Linked DNA regions of Arabidopsis thaliana. The protein of the gene in region 1 interacts with the protein of each later gene in a biochemical or structural test. Each region holds a gene or a part of one and is shown in the gene's direction. Other genes may lie near its edges.

The links.
Region 2: the proteins of TWD1 (region 1) and ABCC1 form a complex in vitro, tested with the Arabidopsis thaliana proteins (one study listed by BioGRID).
Region 3: the proteins of TWD1 (region 1) and PID form a complex in vitro, tested with the Arabidopsis thaliana proteins (one study listed by BioGRID).

Annotation. Positions count from the first base shown.
Region 1 is NC_003074.8:7,615,025-7,626,013, reverse strand, and holds TWD1 (FKBP-type peptidyl-prolyl cis-trans isomerase family protein), read left to right. Parts: upstream 1-4,536; 5' UTR 4,537-4,663; intron 4,664-4,894; 5' UTR 4,895-4,916; coding exon 4,917-4,953; intron 4,954-5,233; coding exon 5,234-5,410; intron 5,411-5,525; coding exon 5,526-5,615; intron 5,616-5,855; coding exon 5,856-6,040; intron 6,041-6,151; coding exon 6,152-6,274; intron 6,275-6,414; coding exon 6,415-6,567; intron 6,568-6,656; coding exon 6,657-6,989; 3' UTR 6,990-7,163; downstream 7,164-10,989. Other genes in the region: AT3G21660 (UBX domain-containing protein), read left to right, coding at 1-143, 274-360, 441-499, 723-930, 1,026-1,109, 1,187-1,519; AT3G21650 (Protein phosphatase 2A regulatory B subunit family protein), read left to right, coding at 2,602-3,855, 3,948-4,334; CERK1 (chitin elicitor receptor kinase 1), read left to right, coding at 7,484-8,123, 8,220-8,253, 8,342-8,349, 8,447-8,602, 8,692-8,885, 8,964-9,053, 9,147-9,240, 9,318-9,469 and 4 more. UniProt on the Arabidopsis thaliana protein: PPIases accelerate the folding of proteins. It catalyzes the cis-trans isomerization of proline imidic peptide bonds in oligopeptides.
Region 2 is NC_003070.9:10,723,127-10,733,612, forward strand, and holds the start of ABCC1 (multidrug resistance-associated protein 1), read left to right. Parts: upstream 1-4,190; 5' UTR 4,191-4,546; exon of another isoform or gene 4,547-4,940; 5' UTR 4,941-5,012; coding exon 5,013-5,342; intron 5,343-5,434; coding exon 5,435-5,613; intron 5,614-5,709; coding exon 5,710-5,749; intron 5,750-5,875; coding exon 5,876-6,032; intron 6,033-6,451; coding exon 6,452-6,566; intron 6,567-6,648; coding exon 6,649-6,729; intron 6,730-6,986; coding exon 6,987-7,011; intron 7,012-7,168; coding exon 7,169-7,225; intron 7,226-7,444; coding exon 7,445-7,510; intron 7,511-7,866; coding exon 7,867-7,941; intron 7,942-8,100; coding exon 8,101-8,208; intron 8,209-8,594; coding exon 8,595-8,729; intron 8,730-8,860; coding exon 8,861-8,967; intron 8,968-9,066; coding exon 9,067-9,160; intron 9,161-9,490; coding exon 9,491-9,658; intron 9,659-9,834; coding exon 9,835-9,975; intron 9,976-10,078; coding exon 10,079-10,279; intron 10,280-10,445; coding exon 10,446-10,486. UniProt on the Arabidopsis thaliana protein: Pump for glutathione S-conjugates. Mediates the transport of S-(2,4-dinitrophenyl)-glutathione (DNP-GS), GSSG, cyanidin 3-glucoside-GS (C3G-GS) and metolachlor-GS (MOC-GS).
Region 3 is NC_003071.7:14,586,540-14,597,271, reverse strand, and holds PID (Protein kinase superfamily protein), read left to right. Parts: upstream 1-5,131; 5' UTR 5,132-5,714; coding exon 5,715-6,262; intron 6,263-6,569; coding exon 6,570-7,338; 3' UTR 7,339-7,536; downstream 7,537-10,732. Other genes in the region: AT2G34655 (uncharacterized protein), read right to left, coding at 368-436. UniProt on the Arabidopsis thaliana protein: Serine/threonine-protein kinase involved in the regulation of auxin signaling. Acts as a positive regulator of cellular auxin efflux and regulates organ development by enhancing polar auxin transport.

The DNA of each region.
Region 1 (10,989 bases):
CTGAAGAAACTGTTTCATCTGAGCTTGAAGAAGAGCCTCAAAAAGTGTTTACGCACACTGTAACAAGCTGGAGCAACGGTTTCACTGTCGATGATAGCTCGTTAAAGACGTTGGATGACCCGGAAAATGCAACCTTTCTTGAGGTTACTAATTCAATACCTTCTTGCCATTTTCAAGTTGTGTTACATACAACATAGTATAGTTACAACTTACAAGGGTATTGGTCTTTCTCTGTATTACTTTAGATAACATTATGTTCCATGACAATGCCAGATCATATCAAGTATGGAGTCCCCACGTGAACTCGGTCAAGTCCGTGTTCAAGTCAAAATCATTAGCCGTGAAGAAGAAAACTACACTGTATATTTGTCTCCTTCTCTCTTCTCTGATTCAAATAAGCCGGTAAAGTGAAAGCCCTTATTCTTATATCTTAACAACAGGAATCACAAGCCGGATCAGACTCTGCCTCAACTAAGCCACCACCAGCTTTAGCAATGAGGTTATATGACAATGTGCTTTTCTGAAGGAGATGAATCGTTAATTTCTCAAAACTCTGAAGAAATGTGCTGTTCAAGAATCCATGATACTGCAAGGATCTTGTGTATAGGATAAAGATGTTGATGGTTTTTGCAAGTCTTGTAGAAGAAGGTTTTTGAATGTATGTTGTAGCTTTAATGGGATGCTTGTGCGAAAGCTAAAGATGTAGATACGCTTTTCGACAGAGCTAAGGAGTCAGCTATAGAAAGATCTGAGCAATCATCAAAGGTATTGTCTGGAGAAACTGATTCAGCTGAGCTTCAAGAACAACAGCAAGAAGACCAGCCATATGAAGTAGTCACGTACACTGTAACTATTTGGAGGAACGGTTTCACTGTCGATGATGATCCGTTTAAGAGTTTGGATGATCCAGAAAATGCAGCTTTTCTCGAGGTTACTAATATCAATATCTTCTTGTCATTTTCAATTATGGGTCTTTCTCTGTACTTGTTTCACTTGGATAACATAATGTTCCAAGTATATGCCAGAGGATAACAAGTTTGGAGTCCCCACGACTACTCGATCCACTTCGTGTTCAAGTCAAACTCATCAAGTGTGAAGAAAATTTCAGTGTATACTGATCTCCTTCCCTCTCTCTCTAATCTTTTTCTCTTCTCTGATTAAAATGAGCTAATATTTTTAACAACAGGAGTTACAAACTCTAGCCGGATCAGAGTCTACCTCTACTGAGCCACCATTGACGACTACACAACCACCATCCATGAGCTCATTAGTGGTGGATCCTGCAGCGCCAACAACCTCGATCCAGCTTATATTAGCAGACAGCACACGCATTGTCACCCAGTTCAATACTCACCACACCATTAGAGACATTCGATGCTTCATAGACACGTCTAGACCAGATGGCTCCAAAGACTACCAATTACTCATCATGGGGTCTCCTCCTACACCACTGTCGGACTTTGACCAAACCATCGAGAAGGCTGGCATCGCCAACTCTGTCCTCGTCCAAAAATTCTAGCTCTTTTCTAAGCACATTAGAGACCAATTCTATGGTTACAAAATAGCATCATAAACTTTTTATTGACTTTTCGCTAGTCTTATGTTTGACTAGCGAAATTATTATTGGTCAAACGCTGTGTAGTCGTCTTTGATCATGAAAAAAGTACAGTTTACGTACTTGTTGAGTTTTATACTTTTTATTCTCACACAAGTTTCTCTCCTTAACTATAGAAGTTAATTGATCAAATTAGGACGTTGATGGCGTCATAATGAAATGGGATTGGTGAATTAAACGAAAATTGACGACTTACTATTTGACGACCATGTAAAACGTTTACTTTTCAGGGTTGTTTTGACTTTTTTGACTCACCTGCCATTCTGTCAAACCGTGCGTGTCCATGTTTATTGATTTTTCCTTCTGTTCTTTCCACCTATGTGTGTGTGTCTCTGTGATGTTTATAAAAAAAAACAATAAATTTTTTTAGAAAATATCTGGATGTTCCAGGTTTGTTATTCGATTCAGAGCAAAACGATTAAGTGTTTAAATGGATTTAGATTTACAGTAAATATCCAGATAGAGAGAAAGAAGGATAAGGAGAGAAGAAAACGATTACTTTCTTCTATTCTTGTTCATTACAACCTTATAATCTCAACATTTGTTTTTTTTCTTTTGTTCTCTCTTTCTTACATATTTCTTTTGGATTTCGTTGTCTTTTTTTTTTCTCTCTTTTCTTCTCCTCTCTCTCGCTCGATTTCAATTTGGGCGAGAAAGGAGCGGTCTTTTGTCTTTCCTGGGTTTATCAGCTAGATCCCTCTTGCCTAAAGTTTGTAACTTTCTTAGGGTTTTCTTCTGATTTCCTCTCTCTCGGGGTTAATTCTGCTCAAAAATGTAAGCCCTTCTCCTTTTATTTCGTTTGTTAGATTTTGTTTTGCTTGATCTGATTCTGTTATGTAATTTTGGGTTCAGGGTTTGATTCAGAGGCAAATCTGGTTTTGTTTAGACAATAAAGTTCGGGACTTTTTGACATACTCACAGCTGGTTTTTAGCTTTGGTTCTTATAGAGAGTAATAGTAGTGAAGGGTTTGTGCCAATAGTTAGAAATGATCAAACAGATATTTGGGAAATTACCTAGAAAGCCTTCCAAATCATTGCAGAATGACTCCAATGGTGAAGGAGGTGTTAATAATTCTTATTATGCTTCGAATTCGAGTACTACTAGTATCTCTAAACCTTCTTCAACATCTTCGAAATCATCATCAGCCTCGGGTTCGCGTGTAGCTAATGGAACTCTTGCTCCTAACTCAATGAGCTCTAATAGGAATACTAATCAAGGGAAGAAACCATTGGGAGGAGATGCTGTTGTACAAGCTGGACCGTTTCCGTCTTCTGGTGGGGTTTATGAGGCTTTGCCTAGCTTTAGAGATGTTCCTATATCGGAGAAACCGAATCTCTTTATCGGGAAGTTGAGTATGTGCTGTGTTGTTTTTGACTTTAGTGATCCGTCTAAGAACCTTAAGGAGAAAGAGATTAAGAGGCAGACATTGCTTGAGCTTGTTGATTATGTTGCATCAGTTGGTTTTAAGTTTAACGATGTTTCGATGCAAGAGTTAACGAAGATGGTAGCGGTTAATCTGTTTAGAACTTTTCCTTCTGCGAATCACGAGAGTAAAATTCTTGAAATACATGATATGGATGATGAAGAACCTTCTTTGGAGCCAGCTTGGCCTCATGTTCAAGTTGTGTATGAGATTCTTCTCAGATTCGTGGCTTCTCCCATGACTGATGCAAAGCTTGCCAAGAGATATATTGACCATTCTTTTGTCTTGAAGCTCTTAGACTTGTTTGATTCTGAAGATCAAAGAGAGAGGGAATATCTAAAAACTATTCTGCATCGGGTGTACGGGAAGTTCATGGTGCATCGACCTTACATCAGAAAGGCGATAAACAATATCTTCTACAGATTCATATCCGAGACTGAAAAGCATAATGGCATTGCGGAGTTGCTAGAGATTCTTGGAAGTATAATTAATGGTTTTGCTTTGCCTTTAAAAGAAGAGCACAAGCTCTTCCTTTTGCGAGCCTTGATTCCTCTCCACAAGCCTAAATGTTCATCAGTCTATCACCAACAGCTTTCGTATTGCATTGTTCAGTTTGTAGAAAAGGACTTCAAGCTCGCTGATACCGTTATTAGAGGTCTTTTAAAATATTGGCCTGTGACTAACAGCTCAAAGGAAGTTATGTTTCTTGGAGAGTTAGAAGAAGTCTTGGAAGCAACTCAAGCCGCTGAGTTTCAACGTTGTATGGTTCCATTATCCCGACAAATTGCTCGATGCCTCAACAGTTCACATTTCCAGGTTCGAGTCTTTGACTATCATCACAACTTCATATCTATCTCTCTTGATAAAGTCTTGTACCTATATATGAAGTTGTACTTTTTGTTTGTCAGGTTGCTGAAAGAGCATTGTTTCTATGGAACAACGATCACATAAGAAACCTGATCACTCAGAACCATAAAGTGATAATGCCTATAGTCTTCCCAGCTCTTGAGAGAAACACGCGTGGACATTGGAACCAAGCAGTTCAAAGTCTGACTATAAACGTGAGGAAAGTATTATGCGAGATTGACCAAGTTCTTTTCGACGAGTGTTTAGCCAAATTCCAAGTAGAAGAAGTGAATAAAACAGAGGTTAAAGCGAAACGGGAAAGGACATGGCAACGGTTAGAAGATTTAGCTACTTCAAAGACCGTTGTAACCAACGAGGCAGTACTGGTTCCAAGATTTGTGTCCTCAGTCAATCTTACTACAAGCAGCTCTGAGTCCACAGGGTCGTAGTAGGCTCTCGTAGGTTACTATGTACTTGTAACAAATATTTGTGGTCACTATAGAAATGGTTCTTGAGAGACGACTGTATAATTATTTTTTTAAATTATAATCTTTTGGGTCAAATTGAGAATATTTGATATTATTTTACTGAATTATAATAAACGCCGTTAAAACTCTCGTTAGTTAACGGCTGACTCTGAAGTGAAAACTGAAAAGTCGAAGGGTCTCTTTATATTTTCAGAATCAAAATCTGAAATTTATCTCTCGGTCGATCCAGTCTTCGTGAGTGACTTCGACGACGACGACGAGTCACACTACTCTTGAGCTTCTCATACTTCGTAAGTTCACTCTCCTCTTCTCTAAATTGACAAACTTTTTCTTCGTTTTCTGCTATTATTGACGACGAGACTTGATTTTGTTTTGAAATGAAATGGTTCAAGTAGCTGACTTCGACTATGTTCTTTTGGGTTTTTGTCATTGAATCTTACTTGTCTGATTTGGTCGATGTTTAATCAATTCAACACTTAAAGATTCAATTTTTGGATTGACACTTGCACATTTTTATTCAGACCCAGGTTGATTTGGGAAATAATGGATGAATCTCTGGAGCATCAAACTCAAACACATGGTAAGTAAATTTTCATAGATTTAATCTCTCTGAATACATATATATGACTTCAATATGTTTGATTGGAGTTTTTTTGTTGTCCCATATTCAATTGGATGCTTTGTTAAAGGATAAATGTCTATCAAATTATGTTGACTGCGTTATTCTTTCTAAATCATATTGTGAATCTTGGAACAAAGCATGTATACAACAAATTTGTTAGACTTGATAACTCCTTTTCTGTTTGTTAAGAATTGAGAATGACTATTGGGGTTGACTAATGCATCTTTTGTGGCTCCAGACCAAGAGAGCGAAATAGTTACTGAAGGAAGTGCCGTTGTGCATAGTGAGCCATCTCAAGAGGGTAATGTTCCTCCTAAAGTTGATAGTGAAGCTGAGGTCTTGGATGAGAAAGTCAGTAAGCAGATTATAAAGGAAGGTCACGGTTCCAAACCATCCAAGTACTCTACATGCTTTTGTAAGTACCCTTTAGCTTTCTGTTGATTGGATGTTGATTTTTCGATTGCACTTGTTGGCCTATTGCTACTGTTTATTTGAATCTTTCTATCTGACCAATTTCATATTGGCCATAGTGCACTACAGGGCATGGACCAAAAACTCGCAGCACAAATTTGAGGATACATGGCATGAGCAGCAACCTATTGAATTGGTTCTTGGAAAAGGTATGTGGCTGTCGAATATGTACTCTACACCTCCATTTCGTTAGATGAATCGTCATTGGTAAATTTGATGAGTTAGCTTGTGTATTATATGAACCCAATGAGATGGATATTTGGGAGGAAAAAAGATTGAGTTTTGTATTTTTTTTGCTTCAATGCTGATTAGCCCATTTTAACGTCACTATACAATTTTTTTTATAAAAAAGATTGTGCACTAAGAGTGAAATGTTGTCTGTGAGACAGAGAAAAAAGAACTAGCCGGTTTAGCCATCGGTGTTGCTAGCATGAAGTCTGGTGAACGTGCGCTTGTGCATGTTGGCTGGGAATTAGCTTATGGGAAAGAAGGAAACTTTTCTTTTCCGAATGTTCCACCTATGGCAGACTTGTTATATGAGGTGGAAGTTATTGGGTTTGATGAAACAAAGGAGGTAAGTTATTTCCTATACCATCATCTTGTTTCCTTACCAAGACGACTCCACATCCAAGCTTTATCCCAACCTCCTTGCTTACCTCTCTGACTTAGATGATGTATTGAACAGGGAAAAGCTCGCAGTGATATGACTGTAGAGGAAAGGATTGGTGCAGCAGACAGAAGAAAAATGGATGGGAATTCTCTTTTTAAGGAGGAGAAACTGGAGGAAGCCATGCAACAGTATGAAATGGTTATGCATCTCTCTCTATCTCTATCTCTCTTTCCAACAATTACGGTCAAAGTTTAGGTTTTCAGGCATACTTAGTGAGTCTGCTCGAGGCTCTTGTGTCTTCTTTCGGCTTTTGATTAGTCATGGTTTTGCTGTTTCAGGCCATAGCATACATGGGGGACGATTTTATGTTTCAGCTGTATGGGAAGTACCAGGATATGGCTTTAGCAGTTAAAAACCCATGCCATCTTAACATAGCAGCTTGCCTCATCAAACTAAAACGATACGATGAAGCAATTGGTCACTGCAACATTGTAAGACTCATCAAACCATTCATTTGAAGAAAATCATTAAAGTTCATACTCGGTTTCTCGAAATCTAATCAAACTCAAAACCTTATCAGGTGTTGACAGAAGAAGAGAAAAACCCAAAAGCACTGTTCAGAAGAGGGAAAGCAAAGGCAGAGCTAGGACAGATGGACTCAGCACGTGATGATTTCCGAAAGGCACAAAAGTATGCTCCTGACGACAAGGCGATTAGAAGAGAGCTACGAGCACTTGCAGAGCAAGAGAAAGCCTTGTACCAAAAGCAGAAAGAAATGTACAAAGGAATATTCAAAGGGAAAGATGAAGGTGGTGCTAAGTCAAAGAGCCTTTTTTGGTTGATAGTGTTATGGCAATGGTTTGTTTCCCTTTTCTCCCGTATCTTTCGACGCCACAGAGTTAAAGCAGATTAATGTATGAAGAAGGGTAACAATTCAACTCTAAAAGACCAACGTGAAAGATCTACCCCCATTTCTTATTAGTGAGAATTTTGAAAAATATTTTATATAAGAAAAAAAAATAGTCTCTATTGTTTTCGATTATAAAGTAACTTTATATTTTGATCCAAAAAAATAAATTTTTAACAAAAAACATACAAAATTCGAACGTAAAATCTACTTCCTTCAACAGAAATGGCGGTCTTCATAGTTTTTGTCTTTGACCAAAGACTTTCAAATTCCAGCTGCTAGTTGCATTAAATGATCTTAGTATTATTAATTAATTAAGAAACTTCTCAACAATTAACAAACACTAATCAGTAATCATCATTCTCTTTAGTTGAAAAAAATAGTCAACGTTTGATTAAGTCAACCTTTTTCGTCTTTGAATCCATCTTCTTCCCCACAGAGCAACGACGAAACAAAAAAAACAGAGACCCTTCCTCTGGGGAATCTAAGGAAGCTTCAAAATGAAGCTAAAGATTTCTCTAATCGCTCCGATTCTTCTTCTCTTCTCATTCTTCTTCGCCGTGGAATCTAAGTGCAGGACTAGCTGTCCTTTAGCTCTAGCTTCGTACTATCTCGAGAACGGAACAACACTCTCCGTCATCAACCAAAACCTCAATTCTTCAATCGCGCCTTACGATCAAATCAATTTCGATCCAATCCTCAGGTACAACAGTAACATTAAAGACAAAGATAGAATCCAGATGGGCTCTAGGGTTCTTGTACCTTTCCCTTGCGAATGTCAACCTGGTGATTTCCTAGGGCACAATTTCAGCTACAGTGTTCGACAGGAAGATACTTACGAAAGAGTCGCGATTAGTAATTACGCGAATCTCACGACGATGGAGTCGTTACAGGCGAGGAATCCTTTTCCGGCGACTAACATACCTCTCTCTGCGACGCTTAATGTATTGGTGAATTGTTCTTGTGGTGATGAGAGTGTTTCGAAAGATTTTGGTTTGTTTGTTACGTATCCGCTTCGTCCTGAAGACAGTCTCAGTTCTATTGCGAGATCTTCCGGTGTATCGGCGGATATTCTGCAGAGATATAATCCCGGTGTTAATTTTAACTCCGGGAATGGAATCGTTTATGTGCCTGGAAGAGGTACAAAGATTGATCTTTGATGATTTGTGACACAAATTGTTATAAATGTAGTAATGATTGTTGAAGTTTATGTACATGTTCCTGTGTTTTTTGCAGATCCAAATGGTGCATTTCCACCATTCAAATCAAGGTTGTTTTTGTTGTTGTTAAGATTGTATCTTTGTTCATTTTGATATCTATTTACTGATGTATTTCTACTTCTCTTATGTTTTTTGTAGTAAACAAGGTTGGTTCTTTTCTCCATTTTTGAGCTTTTGATGATTATGCACGAAGCAAGAGGAGACATGGAAGAGTATGTTTTTGATATTTTTTTGTATTAGCAGATGGTGTTGGTGCTGGAGTTATTGCTGGTATAGTTATAGGAGTGATTGTGGCTTTGTTGTTGATCTTGTTTATCGTATATTATGCTTACCGGAAGAATAAGTCGAAGGGTGATTCGTTTTCTTCTTCTATTCCGTTGTCTACTAAGGCTGATCATGGTAATTTCGTGATGATCATATACAAGCAGTTTTTGTCTCTTTTGTTAGCTGGGAGTTGCTTATTATGTTTATATGAAATCTGCTTTTAGCTTCTTCTACTAGTCTCCAAAGTGGAGGTTTGGGTGGTGCCGGAGTGTCTCCTGGCATTGCTGCCATAAGCGTGGACAAATCTGTTGAGTTTTCGTTGGAGGAACTAGCAAAGGCTACTGATAATTTCAATTTGTCTTTTAAGATTGGGCAAGGTGGTTTTGGGGCTGTTTACTATGCAGAGCTGAGAGGAGAAGTAAGCAGATATCTTTTTATATCTTTTTGTTTGAAGCTACTACACATGGAACATTTAAATTATTCGGTTCTTGTATAGAAAGCTGCGATTAAGAAGATGGACATGGAGGCATCGAAACAGTTCTTGGCGGAACTAAAAGTCTTAACGCGTGTACATCATGTCAACCTGGTAAACCCCTTTTGTGTTCTCTCAAGATAATATCTGAGATCAGATGAAGATCAAGTCTTAGCCAAATTTTAACGAATTTGTTTTTTCTTGCAGGTTCGCCTGATTGGATATTGTGTTGAGGGATCACTTTTCTTGGTGTATGAATATGTTGAGAATGGTAACCTTGGACAACATTTACATGGGTCAGGTACGCAATATAAAGACCTCCAAAAGTGAATCATTTTTCGAGAAAGTTGTAAACTAAAAGAGTTTATGTGAAACTAGGACGAGAACCATTACCGTGGACTAAGAGAGTGCAGATTGCACTAGACTCAGCTAGAGGTTTAGAATATATCCACGAGCACACGGTTCCAGTTTATGTCCATAGGGACATTAAATCTGCCAATATTTTGATAGACCAGAAATTCCGAGCAAAGGTACATTCTCGATTTCTCTTTTGTCAATCAAAAGTGAAAAATACTGAAAAGGTTAGATTTTTCCTTTGTCACCGCTCTGAGTCGTTTACGTGTTACAGGTAGCAGATTTCGGGTTAACAAAACTGACAGAAGTTGGAGGTTCAGCAACTCGGGGTGCAATGGGTACATTTGGTTACATGGCACCAGAGTAAAGAATTTGATCTCGTTTACACTTATATACTACTTTAGAGACTACACTATAGTGATGGTGTATATATGTATGTATGCAGGACTGTTTATGGAGAAGTGTCTGCAAAAGTAGATGTATATGCATTTGGAGTTGTCCTTTACGAATTGATTTCTGCGAAAGGTGCGGTTGTCAAAATGACAGAAGCCGTTGGTGAATTTAGAGGCCTTGTTGGTGTGGTTAGTATTATTGTTTCTTCGTAACATTTAGTCTTTCTGATTTAAAGGCATGTATGTGGATCACTTAACAATATGCTTTGTTTATTTATTATTCAGTTCGAAGAATCATTCAAGGAAACCGACAAAGAAGAAGCACTACGCAAGATTATAGACCCGAGGCTCGGTGATAGTTACCCGTTTGATTCGGTATACAAGGTAATATCTCTTCTTGTTCCCTATTCTATTCATCATTGATCATTCTAAAAGAGGGTGTCCAATCCGTTTTTTGGTCCGAAAAACCGATTAAAAGTGCGATTTTTAAAAACCGGTATTCACTGAACAATGTGCTATTCGATTAGCTTAAAGTGTCGAAAAATCAAACCGAATACCGGATTGCACATAGCTAATTTTAATAACGGGGTAAGCCAATTTGGTGTTTTATGTGTTGTGGTATAGATGGCGGAATTAGGGAAAGCATGTACACAAGAGAATGCGCAGCTACGTCCGAGTATGAGATACATTGTGGTTGCTTTATCCACTCTCTTTTCGTCTACCGGAAATTGGGATGTTGGAAACTTCCAAAACGAAGATTTAGTCAGTCTTATGTCCGGCCGGTAGACTCGTTTTCCGGTTTGCTGTTGTTATATAGAAATGATTGTTTTTTGGTATGCTCACGTATATTTTGTCTGTCTATACGAACTTTACATGTCACAACTCACAAGTTGACTTTTATATGATTTTCTATAACGCTCTATATGTCAATTATTCAACGTCTCCGATATCAGCATCTCACGTCAAAGATAATAATGAAATGCATTAAAATTCTCATAAATAAATTTTTTGAAATCGAGTTTGCCGACAAAAAAATCAAAACATAAAAATATAACTTTTTGTGATGGATACTCTCACGAAGCTTAGAACAAGTCTTCCATAACACCAAAGAAATTCGAATGATTTTGTCACATGGATTCCCCAATACATAAAATCTATATTCCAGCTTAGAACACTAAGTATGTTTCTTATTTCACCTAGCTAGATTTTCTTTATTAGAAATAGAGTAATCGAATATTCTTTTACCATAAACCAATATATTTCATTTTTTGTTTTTTTCTTCTGTCAACAACATACAGATACGG
Region 2 (10,486 bases), on another chromosome or scaffold:
AATGTTGTATCGCAATTTATCCCCCTTTAATAGTCCATAGGTTCGAAGCATGGAAGAAGCGGTATATATGTGTTAGATCTTTGGAATTTTGAGTTTTTGTTTTAGAGAATTTTTGGGTCTGAAGATTTGATGCATAAGTTATTTTTCAAAAAAATTGAATTTTCATGTTAACAAATAGAATGTCTAGAAATCACTGTTTACTTAATCACTTAAGTATGTGAACCGAGGTCAAATAGAATGACCGTATACTTCTTTGCTAAATAAGAATGATCGTATACTTCTTTGCTATATATAAGAATGACCGTTTGCTATATATATAGCTCTCGGGGGTTGAGGCAGGGATGTTCTTTATCACCATATCTTTTTGTTGTGAGTATGGATGTCCTATCTAAACTTTTAGATAAGGCAGCAGGTCAGCGTAAATTTGGATACCATCCAAGATGCAAGCAAATTGGTTTAACTCATCTCAGTTTTGCGGATGATCTCATGGTCTTATCTGATGGAAAAGTGAGGTCCATAGAAGGAATCGTTGACGTGTTTGACACTTTCGCTAAGTGCTCGGATTTGAAAATAAGTATGGAAAAATCAACAGTCTACCTTGCGGGGTTGTCTCACACAACTCGTCAAGAAGTCATTGATCGTTTCTCTTTTGCAGTGGGCACTCTCCCAGTCCGGTATTTGGGACTCCCTTTAGTCACCAAACAATTCTCTTCAACTGATTATCTCCCTCTTATTGATCACATAAAGCAGAAAATTTGTTCTTGGTCAGCTCGTTTTTTATCTTATACTGGAAGATTGAACCTAATCAGCTCGATTCTTTGGAGTATTTGTAATTTCTGGATGGGAGCTTTCCGTCTACCTCGGGATTGTATCAGGGAAATTGATAAGATGTGCTCTGCTTATCTATGGTCAGGAGGAGAGCTAAATACATCAAAAGCTAAGATCGCATGGGCGTTTGTGTGTAAACCGAAGGAAGAGGGGGGTCTAGGTTTAAGATCTCTAAAGGAAGCTAACGATGTTTGTTGTTTAAAGTTAATCTGGCGCATTATATCTCATGCTGACTCATTGTGGGTCAAGTGGATACAAAGCTCTCTCCTTAAGAAAGTTTTTTTTTGGGCGGTAAGGGAAAATACAAGTCTCGGCTCATGGATGTGGAGAAAGATCCTTAAGTTTCGTGACATAGCGAGGACTCTTTGTAAAGTGGAAATAAACAATGGTGCCCAGACTTCTTTTTGGTATGATGATTGGAGTGATTTAGGAAGATTGATTGAAAGTGCAGGGGATCGAGGAGCCATTGATCTGGGGATAAATAAGCACGCAACTGTGGTAGAAGCTTGGGGTAACCGGAGAAGAAGAAGACACCGCGCTAACTTCTTAAACAGAGTGGAGGAGCGACTTGTTCTGTCCTGGAACTCCCGAAACCAAGCCGAGGACTGTGCACTTTGGAAAGGGAAAGAGAATAGGTTTCGAAGCATCTTCTCTACCAAGGATACTTGGAATCATATTCGCACAGTTTCAAATAAGGTGGCTTGGTATAAAGGGGTTTGGTTTGCTCAAGCCATTCCTAAACACGCTTTTTGCATGTGGTTAGCCGTTCACAATAGGCTCTCTACGGGAGACAGGATGACACTTTGGAACATGGGGGTGGATGCGACTTGTATCCTATGTAACAATGCGCTTGAATCTCGGGACCATCTACAACACTTGTTTTTCCACGGACTGGCAAACCATCATCAACAACGTCTCACGCAACTGGCCGGATCGCATTGCAGGTTTCCTAGTCCGTTGCATTTTGCAGGTGATGATTTACACTCTATGGCGAGAGCGAAACGAGCGCAAACATGGAGCTTCTCCGAATTCTTCAAGTCGGCTTATCAGTTGGATAGATAAGCACATTCGAAATCATTTGATGGCCATAAAACAGAATGGTGATAGAAAATTTGATAGAGGGTTTCAAGTTTGGCTTCAGAGAGAGATAACTTACGCTCTGTTTTCCAGATTATATTCTTTAAACTAACGTTAGCACTTGTTGTAACAACATTGGCCTCCTTTTTTGAGTTTAATTTAACATAAAATTCAAAAAAAAAAAAGAAAGAATGACCGTTTACTTAATCACTTAAGTATGCGAACCGAGATCATTGTTTAATAGAAATACCACTAGGTTTAGAAGTTTGACGTAAGCTTATATAAGTAGAAAAATATTAGTGGCCTTGTATCCAACCAAACTAATATTTGGTCATCGTATATAAGACCAAAATTGACATTTTTTTTTTATAATCTCTTTGACATCTTGTAGACGTAATTAAACACATAATATGTTGTCATAGAAAAAAATGTTGTCATATAAGCTAATCTTTGCATTTGATCCAAACTCTCTTTGGAATAAGATATATTTCTGAAATAATTGGTTTGGTGTCACAGAGAGAAAAAAATCCTACCCTATAACATAGTCAGGCCACACAAACTATTGCTGGTCTCCTCCTCCATTATTGGTTTACCGACTTTACTCTAGTGCTCCACTCAGCCACTGATGAAAGACATAAACACAATACTTATCAGGATGTTAACTATAATTTTTTTTTTTTGTTTTTTTGAATATAGATGTTAACTATAACCTATAACTCTCTCTATATTTTTTTTTTTTTTAGTTTATATTCTGTATCAGATTGACCTTTTTAAGTTATTTATCCAATCGTATTGATTATTAGTATTGTAGCGAGTGGTTTAGCAACACGAGATAAGCCCAACCAGGCTAGGCAGTATATACTATTTAAAGTAAAGTTCTCATGTCGTAGAAGCAAACAAGCATGAAATTTCCAATAATAAAAGTTAAGAAAACCTTGGACAGATTTCAGTGTGTATTCGACCGATGTCATTAATGGGAGTACCGGAGATGAGAGTATCAATGAGTACTATTTTAGTATAGTTTAATTAGTTAAATAGTGCATGTCAGAACATCTGGAATCAAACACGGATTGACGTCGAGCGTTTCTAAGATTCTCAACGATAAATTAAAACTTTTGGCCAATTACTATTAAATTTTGAAACTGAAATGTTTAGAATATCTATGAATTGAACCCAAAAAATAATTAAGTCAACTAAAATTGAATCCGACAAATGCTGTTTTTTGTTTTGTTTGGAATTATTACTTATTAAGGAAATAAAAATGATAGAATTTGTCTGAGTTGATCATTAGAATTCGAATCGAAAAAGACCTTGCCAAAAAGAGAAAGCGAAAATGGTTTAAGAAAACGAAAGACTTCCACTTTTGTCCTTTTTTTTTAACATCTACTTTTGTCATAGCAAATTATCTGTAAATAAGATAGGGTTTATGCTTATTGCTACAATGAGCCTAATCCTATGATGTGTATTGCAATTTGCAACCATGCGAGTTTAATTATTTGTTTACTGCTATAGTGATCATTTTATGATGTGTTTTTATTAATTACAAAACAGAGCATCAAAAATCAAAAGAACATATCGCATAATCGAACTATGCTAATACCTCTCCTCAATCTTTGTTGTTGTTATATTCAAGTAGCTTATTCTTTTGTTTTATTTTACGATTAGATTTCTCTAGAATTTAATTTATATTATTTAATCATACTTGATCAAGGTTTGTAGCTTAATCAATATCGTTATCGTGTCATCCTGCAGATTCAAATGATCAAATCTGATAATCTACTTATATGTATTATATATATTAGATACCAACAACGAACAAAATCATATTTCTATAACATTTGTTTGGTTAAATATATTTAAAGATTTGTAACAGTTGTTCGGGTTCAAAACTATCACTTTGTAGTTGTAGGATGAGGAAAAGTCGTGATATGATCATCTACTAAAATCATGTGTTTTTTAAAGAACATGATTTTCATTGGATAGTTTAATAAATGTTAAAAAAATACTAAGTGTCAAAGAAGAGATTTGAACCATATGTAGAATACTTGATTCGAATTTTCCTGACGAATAATCTAATATCCTTTTCTCAAAAGAAAAAAATGTTTGTTAACTTGGACACGATATTATTATCCAACTTCCTTTCTAGATATTCATTTTTAAATTACCTATATATTTTTATTTTCTCAAAATATACTAAAAATTGGATAGAGCTATTAAATAAAAAAGATAGAATTTAGAGAGAAATAGCAACATAATGAATTATAATATAAATATTTTGTAAAGAAATAACAAACTTTATAGTTAGTTTGCCTAATATAGAAAAAAGATTACAGTTATTTACCCATTTGTTTGTGTGTAAAAAAAGGAGTAAAATAAACAGAGAAAAGAGCTTCTTGTTTTTACTTGTGAACGTTATTGACTTTTCGGCCTCTCTCTCTTCTCTATACAAATATATGGATCTTCATTTCTTCGTATAGTGTAAGCAGTGACGCATCCATTTATCATCATCTCCTTATAAATCTCGAATCTGCCACAGAGAGAGCGTGTGACAAAATGAGTTCATAAGATTCCGTTATCGTCTTCCTGATTCCTCCAAATCTCCGGCGAATTTGCACTCTTTACCTCTCTTTGACTCCGTGAGGTTTTGTTTTCTCCTTATCAATCGAATTCCATTTCGTGCTCGTTACGTGATTTTTGTAGATTTTTTTTATGGGGATGGAAACTTGTTTATTATCTATAGATGATGATTTTGTTTTCTCCATGAGAATCTATGCTTTTAAACTTTTTTTTTTTTGTTTTTTGCCTTCGGAGCTAACTTTTGGTGCTTGTCTCTGTCTCTGTTTTCTCTCCACTAAAAAGATAAAAAGCTTTTTGCCATCTTTTTTTTTTTCTCAATAATCTATCACATCGTTTTTTTTCTTTGTTTTTTTCTCCATTTGTCTTCATTGAGTTCATAGCCACATAATTATTGATTTCTTTTTCTTTTAGTGTTTCTGTTACTGATGCGTTTCATTATTTATACTTCTCACTTGCAGATTCGAGGATTGTTAGTTTCTTGTGATGTGTAGTCTTTGAAGCAGGGGATTTTTATTGTATTGAGGAAGAAGATGGGGTTTGAGCCGTTGGATTGGTATTGCAAGCCGGTGCCGAATGGTGTGTGGACTAAAACTGTGGATTATGCGTTTGGTGCATACACGCCTTGTGCTATTGACTCTTTTGTGCTTGGTATCTCTCATCTGGTTCTGTTGATTCTGTGTCTTTATCGCTTGTGGCTCATCACGAAGGATCACAAAGTGGATAAGTTCTGCTTGAGGTCTAAATGGTTTAGCTATTTTCTGGCTCTTTTGGCTGCTTATGCTACTGCGGAGCCTTTGTTTAGATTGGTCATGAGGATCTCTGTTTTGGATTTGGATGGAGCTGGGTTTCCTCCCTATGAGGTGTGTTATCACTTTGCTGTTTTTGTTGATGTTGTTCTCCTTCTGTATGTTTTTTCCTGAGAGATGCTGTTGTTTTGTGCTTTATTTGGCAGGCGTTTATGTTGGTCCTTGAGGCTTTTGCTTGGGGTTCTGCTTTGGTCATGACTGTTGTGGAAACTAAAACGTATATCCATGAACTCCGTTGGTATGTCAGATTCGCTGTCATTTATGCTCTTGTGGGAGACATGGTGTTGTTAAATCTTGTTCTCTCTGTTAAGGAGTACTATGGCAGGTTGGTAAATTTGCAGTCTGTATGGTTTATGCAATTTTGTTTCCCTGGTCTGGCACGATGAACTTATATGCGTCATTTTTTTTTTGTTTTTTGCAGTTTTAAACTGTATCTTTACATAAGCGAGGTGGCAGTTCAGGTTTGCACTTTTAGACTCCTTTTTGCATTCTCCAAACTACTCTTTACCATGTGCTGTATCTAAGTCAGACTGTAGATGATACAACTTTGTTTTGATAATGACGTTGAGGATGGTTTTTGGATCCAGGTTGCATTTGGAACCCTCTTGTTTGTGTATTTCCCTAATTTGGACCCTTACCCTGGTTACACACCAGTTGGGACTGAAAATTCCGAGGATTACGAGTATGAAGAGCTTCCTGGAGGAGAAAATATATGTCCTGAGAGGCATGCAAATTTATTTGACAGTATGTTACTCTACACTTCTCATTCCCTACTTTGTTTTTATAGGTGCATTTCTATTTTAATTGTGAGAATTGCCACCGCATCTTTTATCACTTTTCTGCACTTACTACCTATCTAAGTTGGTTATTTATGCAGAGCTTAAATATTTCCCTGGAATTGTAAATTTTCTTATGGAGTGCTAATACGTAGTAGGTCATTAAAATTGTTTCCGCAGAGAGTAGTCTATAGTCTCTTCAAAATTTTTTTTTGACTTATCCTCCCGTTCTCCCTAGAAATGAACTTATGATTTGTGACTGTGCCGAGGTTTTTGCTTAGTGATCATCACTTCGACTAAGCTGCAACATTTTATATAGTATATTCGTCAACATTTGTTAAACTTTGACTATTATGTACCTTCTTACCCTTGTTTTTCAACCCACAGGTATCTTCTTCTCATGGTTGAACCCATTGATGACTCTGGGATCAAAACGACCTCTCACCGAGAAGGATGTATGGCATCTGGACACTTGGGATAAAACTGAAACTCTTATGAGGAGGTATATTTTAATAAATAACAACTGTTCTCATACTGTCTATGACTGGCATGGTTGCGTGACATATTTTTATCTCATTTTTTAGCTTCCAGAAGTCCTGGGATAAGGAACTAGAAAAGCCCAAACCGTGGCTTTTGAGAGCACTGAACAACAGCCTTGGGGGAAGGTAAAGAGAAACTTCTTCACAGTCATGTGTTTTCATCTTTTTGGGCTTTGACATGATGTGTGATTTGTAAAAGGAAGCATTTGGTTGTAATAATAAATGCATTATGAATAACTAGAAGCTGAGAAATCTGTTATGGCTGTGACTTCAAGTATGTTTTGATGCGTGTCGAGTTGAATAAGAGATGTGTTACTTTTCTGGTTATAATCTGCCATAGATACTTTTCATCCTTATGGACTGTCTGTTTCTGCATTTTGTAGGTTTTGGTGGGGTGGCTTTTGGAAGGTACTTTTGTTCTCTTTATTGTGTTTTATTCTTTATTCTGAAACAGTCTTTTCCTTGTCTATTTGATAATATTGATGGCTTCTGAGGTCTTAGTTTTCCTAAATGGTGTGTTTTGTAACTGTTTAATCTTGACATTTCAATCTAAATTGTATCATAGATTGGGAATGACTGTTCACAGTTCGTGGGGCCTCTTCTACTGAATGAGCTCTTAAAGGTTTGTTCCTTTACTTCTTTTTACCCCGTGCACATTGTGCTTGAACCTATTTAACACAATGCTTTGTAATTTTTCCATTCACATGGATCTTTGAGATGGATTCATATTCCTACTGGCTCGAATAAGTGTTTAAACGTTCTTGATAGATTCAAAATCCTATCATCCTTTGAATATTATGTTCTGACGATATCTCACAATGTCTCCTTTAACTTTCCGCAGTCAATGCAACTTAATGAACCAGCGTGGATAGGTTACATCTATGCAATCTCAATCTTTGTTGGAGTGGTATGCAACAAATTCTCTTTTTCTTCGCTGCCTTTATTATTCTCTTGCATGGACTGCAAAGGATATGAAACAAAAACTCTACTTTCCTTGGATTCTTTTCTTTCTTGCTAGGACTTCATGGTATTTTTGGTCTAGAGTAGATGCTACGAATTGTAGGACCAGTTTAATTTTCTTAAGCTGAAAGTAATCTCTGTGCGATTCGATTGTATTAGAAATAGCCTGATTCTACTCTTAGAGTTAGTTTTTTTTGTTTGTTAATACATTTGCATGTTGAAAAGGTTTTGTTTAATGTAGGTCAAGGTGACACTTGACCAATGGACTCCTTGATCGCTTGATGTTGATGTTGACATTTTCAGGTATTGGGGGTTTTATGTGAAGCTCAGTATTTCCAAAATGTGATGCGTGTTGGTTACCGGCTTAGGTCTGCACTGGTAAGAAAAAGTTTCACATGAATTATCTTTTGCTACTTAGTTTTTCTTTTTGCTCTGCTTCTCATGTTTTGATGCAATACCTGTACTGTTATGTCTGTTGAAAGCTATAGCAGATGCTTATAGATTGCTTCATTCTGCTGATGAATTCTCCCTTAATAGATTGCTGCTGTGTTCCGAAAATCTTTGAGGCTAACTAATGAGGGGCGGAAGAAGTTTCAAACAGGAAAAATAACAAACTTAATGACTACTGATGCTGAGTCGCTGCAGGTGTATCTTTGTTACCTTTACTCTCTTTAGCCTTGTCTGTTTCTTGATATAAATTTACACTGCATAGTTGTATATCTACCTCAAAATATGAGTCTTAGATGCAATTTACCAAGATAGTCTTTTTCCTGCAACTGACGACTGAATCTGAAGCTTATTCTAAGATTCTAGAAATCTAAGAGTTGTGATTACATTTTCAACACCCTTGTTCTTTTGTTGCCGTTGTAGGATTTGATTTTCCTTTATTAGCCAATAAACCTTTAATTCGCTTGATTTGTAGAAAAAAGTTACCTTTGAACAGTGCTTTTATCTAAGCTCTTGCTTGAAATCAAAGTGTTTATCTAGCTGATAGCTGTTCTTTTTCCTAACGTTTCTCTTGTGTGTGACAGCAAATCTGCCAATCACTTCATACCATGTGGTCGGCGCCATTTCGTATAATTGTAGCACTGGTTCTCCTCTATCAACAATTGGGTGTTGCCTCGATCATTGGTGCATTGTTTCTTGTCCTTATGTTCCCCATACAGGTTCGTATATCTTAATAATTCCCCATTCTCTTTGCGCTGTCGGTTTTTTTTTTCTTTTGAGTGCTTATTTCTCATTTGCTTTTCACACCAATGAAAATGATTCATTTTCTTCGTTTATTTTGTTGAAACAGACTGTTATTATAAGCAAAACGCAGAAGTTAACAAAAGAAGGGTTGCAGCGTACTGACAAGAGAATTGGCCTAATGAATGAGGTTTTAGCGGCAATGGATACAGTGAAGTACGATACTTTGGAAGACTGAAACCTAATATTTATTTTCTTGCATAGTTGGAAGTTTGTGGCAGTGTTTAACTATCTCACTAAACCAAAATACTGTAGGTGTTACGCTTGGGAAAACAGTTTTCAGTCCAAGGTTCAAACTGTACGTGATGATGAATTATCTTGGTTCCGGAAAGCACAACTCCTGTCAGCGGTATGGCTTGAGTGCAGTGACTGTTATATTAATTGATTTTATAGACCGTATGCATGATGTGCATAGTTGTCTTGGTCATTTACTTGTCGCTCTCCTAACGGTATGATTGTATACAAGGACAAATCCAAGTTGCTCGTCTTTTTAAATGCCTTTGACCATTTTGAGAATGGTATCCATCAATATGTGTTTAGGCATTTTCTGTACTATTTTCTAGTTCATTGAACATTGATTCAGTTGTTTCGGGCATGTGTAGCAGCATTCATGCATGATCTTTAACATATATTGCATTAATGTTTCTGACTCATTCTTGGTCTTCTATTTGCTCTGCAGTTCAATATGTTCATACTAAACAGCATTCCTGTCCTCGTGACTGTTGTTTCATTTGGTGTGTTCTCATTGCTTGGAGGAGATCTGACACCTGCAAGAGCGTTTACGTCACTCTCTCTATTTTCTGTGCTTCGCTTCCCTTTATTCATGCTTCCAAACATTATAACTCAGGTGATTTCCTTAAAATGTTTCTTGAACCATGTTTTCATGTCCAGTACTGAATAATGTGGCATCAGTAGTAATGATTGCTTCTGATTGCTCTTTTAATTTTCCATCTCTACCTCTTTTTCTAGACCAGTCGTTGTCATAATGTTTTTGCAGATGCTGACCAGGCTTTACTTTTGTAGATGGTAAATGCTAATGTATCCTTAAACCGTTTGGAGGAGGTACTGTCAACCGAAGAGAGAGTTCTCTTACCGAATCCTCCCATTGAACCTGGACAGCCAGCTATCTCAATAAGAAATGGATACTTCTCCTGGGATTCAAAGGTCTTCTTTGTCTATTTTATCACATGTTCTTACTTCTATTAGTTTCTATCATTACATATTGTCAATGAAGTACAAAAAGTGAGCTAGAAGTATACATATGCAGGCGGATAGGCCAACATTGTCAAACATCAACCTGGACATACCTCTTGGCAGCCTAGTTGCGGTAGTTGGCAGCACAGGAGAAGGAAAAACCTCCCTGATATCTGCTATGCTTGGGGAACTTCCTGCAAGATCTGATGCGACTGTTACTCTTAGAGGATCAGTCGCTTATGTTCCACAAGTTTCATGGATCTTTAACGCAACAGTAAGTTTATATATGCTACTCAGTTTATAGTATGGTTCTCAATGCGAAAATGTCAAATTCTCCTCTTGGATTGTTACTTATTTTGTATGTATTTTATGTTTTGTATATGATGATGTGTGCTTTTAGATACGTCCACATGCTGATGGTTGTAATTAACATCGCGTAGGTACGTGACAATATATTGTTTGGGGCTCCTTTTGACCAAGA
Region 3 (10,732 bases), on another chromosome or scaffold:
TTACAACAAGCCACTCCGTAGGGGACAAGGAACTTCCAACCAAATGGACAGCGGTGCCACCTATTACGATGAAGACTACCTTACATAGAAGAGTTCCAAGGAATCCATACCGGCGAGAAGAACTAGGCCAAAGACGACAAGTCACACCTACACTCCCGGAAGCGGCGAATCAAAGAATATGATTGTTTAGCGCCTCGAAGAAAACCAGCCAATGAACAGATGAGATCTCGATCAGATCTTTAGAGTAAAGACAAGGAGAGAACCAAATCAATCCGGACCACACCGAAAAACAAAAACGGGAGGAGATCGAACCGGACAGAAACGAAAGCAACCACCAAGCCTGGTAAAAGGCTAAACGAGAATAAGGTTAAAACATGACCGGATCAAGAGGCGCTACTAGCAACAGAGACCAACCCACAAAAACAACATAAGCCATCTAAGAACCATTCAAAAATCCCTACACCACAACGCACATAAACTAAGCAAAAGCAACATAAACTTTACAGCAGAGCAAGAGAGGCATAGCTCCGGCGCTATGGAAGCCACCAGAGCCAGCCAACGCAAACTGAGATCTAGATCTACTTTTAGAGAGAAGGGAGAGGTTTTAAAGAGAGAAGTACCCAAAAAAACTAGTTTAGAATGTTTTTTTTCTTTTTTCTAAGTAGATAGTTTTATTTTTTTGAAATAGATTCCAATATCATTTGGTCTGAATTTCGTGTAGACCAAATCCAGGGTGCCTAAAATTAGTAGTATATGCCATGCATGTGGTCCACACGATCTCACATGTTGGGATTTACCTTTACTTAACTTTACTAATTTTATTAGTGATTAAAGTTTTTATACATCTTGTTTTCAACATAAAAATCAAAACCAAATCTCAAAGAGATCTCATTTTGGCAAGAAAAAAGGATAGGCACATACATATACAATAAGCATGTCTTTTGATTTACACACACTATTCGTTGGAGTTAATTTGTGAGATGAATATTTCTAATTATAATCGGCAGAATAATCATCCGTTTGAATAAATTAGGAGATTAACTATTAGGAGTATAAACAACCATGATTTCTTTATCATAATTACTTTGATATAAAACGATATTTACCAATCAAATTTATAGAAACAATTAACTTATCATTAAAGTTCTTGGTTAATAGTGTATATATATATACATATATATATTGTATTTGAAGCCCTTGTAAAAAGAGAAACGTGAAGACTAAACAAAAGAGAGTCACTGTCTTAATTAATTATTAGATCATTATCATGGTATTTGAAACCCTACTCGTCTAACTCTTGCCAAAGTCCAGAAATATGACAATGGTCACACATGCCATGTGACCATTTTTAGCCGATGATGTGGACCTTCTTTATATTAAGAAATTATTTGGTTAGTTTCCCAATTGATATCAAACAAGTTTCGTGATATGGGTCGAGACTTTTAAACAAAAACAAAACAGAAAAGTTTCATGATATGGATCACTTTTTATAAAGAAAAGTCTACCTATATTTTCTTCTATTCTGCACTACAAAATGGGTAGACATATATACATATGTAGTGTATGTATTTATCTATTATTCTATTAATCATTCTCATTCTCAAAGGTTTGACATGCCCACAGGCCACAACCACAAGCAATCTCACTTGCCATGTTTTTTTTTTCATTTTTTGTTTATATGAGTATAGTAGATAACACTTAAGTGTGTATGCATGTGTATATATTACTTATGTTATTTTACGATATACATGAACACATCTATACGTGTTTGTGTATATGACATATCTAATCAAGCGTCTATGCATGTAACTATTTAAGTATGCAGATATTATGAAAATACATACGTTTAATAAATATGTATTTTCGTTTCTGCATGCATATTCATATATTCATGAGAAACGTATTTAACTATTTATTAAGGCCTTGAATGTTTTGTAGATTTTGTAAGAGTTTTTGGATTTTGTTTTTCAAATACTTATTTTCGTACCAATCAAGATTTTAAAATTTTGATTTCCATACAATTTAGAAAAACTATTTTGTTGTAGTTTTTCATTCATGATTTTAGTTTTTTAGTTTTCCTAAAATTTAGGGAATCTAGTTTTTACTCCATCAACGTTATTTTTCTCAAAAACTAAAAACCAATTTTTTTGAGTTTTAAAAACAAAAATATATTAACAAAAATCTAAAACTAAAATCTAAAATCTAGAAACTAAAATCTAAATCCAAAAACTAAATCGAAAATCAGCATCCATTCAAAGCCTAAAAGTGTAGCGAGATGGAGTAGTTCTTATAAAAAGAAAATCTTATATAAAATATTAATAATTGTTACACTTTCTGCTGCACCTTTTTATGTGGCACCCAACTCTCTTTAACTAATTCGTGGGGCCTTGCTTCTAGCCTTATTGTATATTCCAATTTCAATTGCTTCCACACAAATTGTATTTCCAATAGATATGTTGTGAAAATCTAACTAAGCGTATTTTCCTTCTTTTAGCATCAATTTTGGCTATTGTAAAAAAAAACATCAATTTTGGCTAAAGAAGAAATGCTCATCAAAAGTTCGATCAGTTGGACGTATCTTATAAAAAGTCAAATGTTGTAAAACAAGTTTTTTTTGGTGTAAATGTTAAGAGTTCTAAAACAGGTTGACCGAACCAATTCTAGCAATAATAATAACCCCTAACCATGAAAGACTCATGAAGGATTCATTCACAAAACAAATCCTAACCATAACAACAGCTAATGTTGAAAACAAATATCAATTCATCTTTGATGAGTGGAGTGGAGCCACGTAAATCTTACTGCATGATTCAGCCAACTTCTAGAGTAAAATTATATGGAAGACATCAAATTGGATCATATAGCATCACATGGAAACAAGCATTAGAACATAGCCAGGCCGACTTAAAACAGAGATTTCTTATAATTGGTGTCGTTTATATAAAAAAAAAAATCAATGAACATTTACATTTTCATGGAGTTATTTGCATTTGTCTTTGAAGTATAAACCAAACAAAATTCATTAATTAGTTTTCCAATTTATGTTTGGACCCAAAAGCTGTCGCGTCAGAAAAAAGGACCCACAGTTCCTAAATGTTGCCGCCTGTCCTCCTCACATCCTATGCTTTTATTTATTACACTGTTTTAGTTAATCTCTTCATATCTTTCTTACTCTCTATATGATTCATTGATTCTATCTTTAATATTCTGTTTTTTTAATCACAAGTTAAGGTTTTTGTGACCAATACACATCATCCTCTGTCTAATCGTTACGATTATAAAACTAAAACGGATTGAATCATCATTTAGCTTATTGTTAAAAAAAAGATTCGAGGGAGAAATAATAATTGGAGTAAGGTGGGAACTAGTCCGTACAAAACATGGACCCCACGAAATATATAGTACGTACAAGACACAGAAGTAAGTCATTCCGATGTAGTTTTAGTAATTGGTACAAGATTGGGATATAGTTAAACTAGTTACCAAACACTTGGCTAAGAGAGAGTTTGAGAAGATACAGAAGTAACGGGAACAGTTATTGTCTTTAGGAACCAACGAGGAAGGGAATATCTCTCTGGGTTTATTTAACCATAAGTCCAGAGGTCAGTTCTGTTTTGTCTCTTTGCCAATTTAGCTGGCACAATTACGACTTTGTCCCTCTTCCACCAAACATCTCATGCATTTTTCTCCTTATTTCCTTCTTTTTTCTCCAAACTTCTTTCTCTTAAGTTTCCAAAATACTTAAGAGAATAACTGAATATAGTCACAGTCAAATATGTTAATGTTTGATTCAGATTCTTTAATTTAAAACTAAACCTAGGGACACTTATCTTAACCTAGGGACACATTAATTTTGAAAAACGTGTTCTAAGGTTAGCTAAGGAGAGGGCCATGCAGATATATATGCGCCAAATGAATCATAAGCGGTGGGCATATTTATGTCTGTCCTTTTTATGGCTTATGAAACAAAGTTAAAGCTATATATTGTGCATGAAACTTAGGCTACGTTTCCCCTCTATTTTCCATTCATTTTGAACTCAACATTTGCAAGTGTTAACCACACTTCTTCTAACTGTTGTGATTCGTTTATTCTAGCCATTTCACAGATTGAGGCTAGTATAAGTATTCTAGAGTACATTATATGAATACGTCTCAAACTTTTACTGTATAAACAAAACAGTTTTCCAACCGCGAACAGAGGTTGGATTAGAGCAACTCATGGAAAAGATAAATCGGAGATGAAAAAAGTTGTCACAGTGGTCAATCCACAATGATATGAGAGTAGGACAAGTAGGTTCATTCCCGTATAATTATATAATACAATATGTTATAGTAGCCCAAACATTATAGGAGGTGGAGCTAAAACAAAACAAAAATTAGCGAGAGGAGATCTCCAATTGACAATAATTGAATCAACCAAAACCTAACCTAACATAAAAACAATATCTTGGATTCAAATCCAAAGCTTGGAACGTAACGTAACATGAAGCCACAGAAAGCCAACAACATCCTAGTATATAGGTTGGGTCCCTTCCAGCATTTGTATCATCTTTATTAATGATCATTAGGTATGTTCATAGTCGGTATAAATATATAGGGTCCGCACAAACTGGTACACTTTTTTAATGGCAAACATAGTGGTACGAATTGATAGTAATTAAGTGTGTTTTGGTCAATAGCTAGTTTTTTTGGGGTTTTCAAAGATTATATATCCGTGACCATGAGTTCTCTAGTTCAACTCTCACTCACGAGAAAGACAAATGAAAGAACATACTGTACTAGTTTTTGTCTAAAAGTACTCTTTGATTAACCTTTAGAAAATTGATGTTATCATTAAACAAAAAAAATAGTTTCACTATCTCTTCCTATAACCTTTTTTACGGGCTCATTGAATAATTACATATCTTTTAGTACATTTTGTACCAAGACGATATAACATTACCAATCATCTTGAATTAGCCAGAAACAACAAACTAAAACTGTTTAAGTTTCAGAAACTAATCCATATATAATGTTGAGATTAGTTAGTATTCATAACCTATGGAGTATTAATCTTCAAAATTTTCCTCATGAAATCTGTATTTAGTCATCACTTTTTTAACACAGATGAATCACTAGTCCAATATTTCTCCAAAAAAAGACACAAGAGTCTCGAAATTGTAATCCATATCTGTAATTTTGCACCCCTATAATATGCCTAGAGGAAATAAGAAGAAAAAATAATGGGGAAAAAGAGAAGCTACTGCTACACTTTCAGGCACGTGACAACGTCTCACACGTGTCATATATCTTACGTCATCAAGTCCTCTTTTTCTCTCTTTCACTTTTCTGTTTACCTCTCTCACGCGTTGAAAAGTGCAATCAATCTTACATAATTAACCACAGTAAGAAAAAAAAAAAATGGTCTCTGTAACGTCTTTTTACTGTTATAACCTTACACGCATAAATACCCCTCACCAACTCTCTCTGTCTCGCCTCTCTCTAAAACTCCAACACTTCTCCTTCTTCCATCTCTCTCAAACTTCTGAAAATCTTCTTCTTCTTCTCAATCATAAACCCTAAATCTTCATCTCTTCAGATCAGAAACTAATGTCCATTCAAAGACACCCTGTCCTGTTTCATCTCTGTCATTAGTCTTCTGTTTTCAGATTCCAATTTTTTTTCTTGAATTATCCTCTTAGCCATTTCTTGATTTAACTTCGATTTTCCCGGCGATGTTACGAGAATCAGACGGTGAGATGAGTTTAGGAACAACAAACTCACCGATAAGCAGCGGAACAGAGAGTTGCAGCAGTTTCAGCCGGTTATCATTCGACGCGCCGCCGTCAACTATCCCCGAAGAAGAAAGCTTCCTTTCTCTCAAACCTCACCGATCCTCAGATTTCGCTTACGCAGAGATCCGAAGACGAAAAAAACAAGGCCTAACCTTCCGAGATTTTCGCCTCATGCGTCGTATCGGCGCCGGCGACATCGGAACAGTTTACTTATGCCGTCTAGCCGGAGACGAAGAAGAGAGCCGGAGCTCGTATTTTGCGATGAAAGTTGTGGATAAAGAAGCTCTTGCGTTGAAGAAGAAGATGCATAGAGCAGAGATGGAGAAAACGATTTTGAAAATGCTTGACCATCCATTTTTGCCGACTCTTTACGCTGAGTTTGAAGCCTCACATTTCTCTTGCATCGTTATGGAATATTGCTCCGGTGGTGATTTACACTCTCTCCGTCATAGACAACCTCACCGGCGATTCTCCCTCTCTTCCGCCAGGTAAAAAATATCAAATTTTATTGAATAATTTAATATTATGGACAAAGTCAGATTTTTTTTCAAAAAAAAAAAATTGTGAAAAAAGATTCATCATCATCAATGTATATATATATTTTATAGTTACATGCATTGACTCTGTTCACATTTGTTATCTTGTTCTGCAAGAACAGACCTGTTCTTATCATGTCGGTCTTTTCCAGTTCTTTGAATTGTTATCAAAGAGTCTTTTTCAGCCCATCACAATTTATAAACGTCAATAATTATGATTTTATTAGCTAATGAGTATTTATTTTGTTTTTGGTTACAGATTTTATGCCGCCGAAGTTCTAGTGGCGTTAGAATATCTACACATGTTGGGTATCATCTACAGAGATCTGAAGCCTGAAAATATCTTAGTTAGATCCGACGGTCACATTATGCTCTCTGACTTTGACCTCTCTCTATGCTCCGACTCAATCGCAGCCGTTGAATCTTCCTCGTCTTCGCCGGAGAATCAACAACTCCGTTCACCGCGACGATTCACTCGTCTCGCTAGACTTTTCCAACGAGTCTTGCGGTCTAAAAAGGTTCAGACTTTAGAACCAACCCGTCTCTTTGTTGCTGAACCGGTTACTGCCCGGTCCGGTTCGTTCGTTGGTACGCATGAATACGTGGCACCAGAAGTTGCTTCAGGTGGATCACATGGTAATGCCGTTGACTGGTGGGCCTTTGGAGTGTTTCTCTACGAGATGATATATGGCAAGACTCCGTTCGTTGCGCCGACTAATGACGTCATTCTCCGTAACATTGTGAAAAGACAGTTGAGTTTCCCGACTGATTCGCCGGCGACTATGTTTGAGCTTCATGCGCGGAATTTGATTTCCGGGTTGCTTAACAAAGATCCGACTAAAAGACTTGGGTCACGGCGAGGTGCGGCGGAGGTTAAAGTGCATCCTTTTTTCAAAGGTCTAAACTTTGCGCTCATTCGTACGCTTACTCCGCCGGAGATTCCTTCTTCCGTCGTCAAGAAGCCGATGAAATCGGCGACGTTTAGTGGTAGAAGTAGTAACAAACCAGCGGCGTTCGATTACTTTTGAACGTTTTCTACGGTCGAGATTAGGGCCACGTGTTAGTCTGTTTTAGCTGTACATATTCCCTCGAAGCTGTCCTTTTTTTCGTTCTTTAATTTTTAAAATTTCGTTAATCTGACTTATAAATTAAAAATTTAGGTGACTTTTCATACAATTTGTACAACAAACGGATTAATCTAAAACTAATCTATTTTATAATTATCATTATCAACTCTTCGGAACTTGGGAACATCTATTTACCAGTCTAACGATAGTTAATGTTAAGGCATTATATAGTTGACCAAATTTGGTCAAACATTTCTTACCGGTTTGAATGAACTACTTTTCACCGCAATGGAAAAGAAAACGAATTACTTTATAATAAAACTCGTCACGCCTAGACTTTGTAGTTCGACGGGTATAGAAAAAGAAAAGAAGATTCGTCTTTTGACAATTGTAACACATGAAGTCATATTTGCTCTTTGTTAAATCTCTACGAGTCTTTAGAATGTCAAAAAAGGGAGAAAAAAACGTTATCCATAAGGGTAGGAATCTGCCTTTTTGGATCCGACCAGTTGCATGATCTCTCTTCTGCTTTCGATTCGTTCTCTTCAATTTCAACTTAAGGAGAACAATAAACTATAGACGGCAAGACGAAATTGTTTTCTTGATATAGAGTATCAAACGCATTCCTCTAGTGAATTCGTTTAAGCTTTATATAAAGTGGTGTCATTTTCTTTAATGTGTTAAATCGATTTCATTAATTAGATACATTCACTTGACCACATTTTGGCCCCCGAAAAAAAAAAAAGAACACATCATAGGTTTTAAATGTCATTTTCAGATTATAAAATTACTTTGAAAAACTTATACATAAAATATGGCTACTAAACAAATATTTACATGTTTAGTGGGTTATAACATTATCACAAGACTTTAATACTACAATTTATCTTGGTATCAAAACATACTCCACTTTTTATGCAATAAGAATTTAAGAGCTATGTTTGTAAGGACCAAAGATATCCACATCGAATTGTTAGTTCGTGTATTTAAGAAGGGAACAAATGTAGATGTAATGAATCGGATAATGCATTTTAAAGTGAAGTTAAGCAAGTAGGTAAATAATTCAGCTAAAATTTTTGGGCATGTTTGAAGCATGTCCCCAAGTTCATCCATTGCATAATGTGACAATCTAGAAACTAACAAAAAGCCTTTGGCCTTTGGATTGCGTAAAGAGGATTTGTCTGCAATATTTATTTAAGAAGGGAAGCAAAAATTTAAAGGACAGAGAGATTTAGCGCTAGATGTTTTGTCTATCTTAAGAGTAACAAAAAACAATACATATGTACTTACTTACTTGCTCACATTATATTCACCACGTCGACCGTTAATGAAGTGAGTACGTTGTTCAACCAACCAACCAACATTGCTTGATTTACCGACCGCTTTTATTAATTGTTATACATATGTGTGTATAATATACTTATGTGCCATAGGCGATTGTATTAGTGACTAAGGAGTATAAACAAATGTGTATACATGTACAGGATGTGATAATTATGAGTATAAATATACATAAAAACAATCTCTTTAGCTAGCCTATAAAGTTTTTTTTTTTTTTTTTGTGTGTGCAAAGACTATAGAGATTTTCTATGAATTTTAGAAATCTAGAGAACAACTTGGAAAGGTAAGGAGAATAAAAGAGATTAGCAGTAGAAGTCACAGAAATGGAATGGTTATTCAATAATTAGAGACCCTATAAGCACACCACCGTTAAAATGGTGACAAAATAAATCGCTAGTGAAAAAGAGGGGAGAAACAGAAAAAAACTAAAGCTGAAATGTCAATGATTAGACAATTCAATACAAATTGTTTTGGACAATGCATAGAAGTTTTGTCTCTCCTAAAATGTGTAAACATGGACCACACACAAGATTACCGTCACGTCTTGTGTTGTTAATTATAATTAATTTTACTAATGAGCTTAAAAATAAGTAGATAATGATGATTTTACTGTTTACACTTTGAAAAAGAAAATAAACATTTAAGTCGAAAGTCAAAGTCTTCTTATTGGGAGAGGTGTTTCTTTCGCAGAAACCGAGGTTTGTAACTTGTCATTATTCCTTTCTCACTCGCTTACGTGGACCCAAGAAACTTCCCTTGCAATTAATAAATACTACTCTTTTCAAAATACAATAATTGGATAACTGAATTATGTTTTCTCTTTTCCTTAATTGATTTATATATTGAACCACTTTCACATTATAAATTTCGACATAATTTCAAAAAATATCCATTAATTCACAACGCAATAGTTAACGTTATTTATGTATTTTTTGGCCAAGATGCTAAACGTTGTACAAAGTAGACAAATTATCAAAAGTCCAAGAGAACCGTTTATAGTTTATGTAATTATTTTGGGAATTCTTTTATTTCATGGAAAGCTGAGGAGCAAAACGAAGTGACTCGAACCAACATTGATATAGACGCATACGTATGGCTAATGTTACTTGTAACTTGATATAACTGCAATCGTTTCTACTTTTTCACAAGATTAAAGATTCACATCACCGAGTTTTTCTGCGATAACATGCCACACATACAAATTTTGTTTCTCATACACTTACTAAACACAAATATCAATTGTCACTCACAGCGTACGTGATGATATGAAGAAGAGTTTTCTCAAGGTAGCTATTTATGTTTGTAATGTCAACTAACATGATGCTATTATGACCGAAGCTCTTCCTCAAGATATTTTCATTCTCTATTCAGTCGAATTTCGTCAGTTTCATCACCCTCAAGACATTTCGATTGAATAGCTTGTAATGACGTGTTATAAGCAAGAGTACACATAGTTGCTCGAGGTTGGTAGAGCAACTTAGAACATTGTTAGCTACACTTGTTCAGTGACTAGCACGGAATTGTATATAGAAAACTGCCCACACGTTACTAAATTAATGAAAAATATCCTTTCACACAAATGCTTGTTGATATCTATCTCTGGTCTAGCTTTAAACTTGATATTTGTCTCATTACCACACAAAAACAAGGGAACATAGTAGGTGATCGGGTATATCTATATATATGTACATTAAATAACAATTTTTTGTATCATCGGACCAAGCTTGTGACGGTGAACAATTGAAATGAATGGAGTATAGAATAATTGTGATTAATAATTGAAAACACATAAAATAACATGATTTGTTAGATCTTGATTAATACTATAATAGAAAGAAGAGAAGTGTGACAACACATGGGATGTACCCAACAACACAAGGGACAGCTTCACCAGTCTGATTTATGCCACTGTCCCGTTCTTGTCCTCCCTCTGCCCCACCACTCCTTTGTTTTATTTCATCAGTAATAATACTACTAATTTTAGTTAGTGTTTAGATTAATCATAATGCAATAA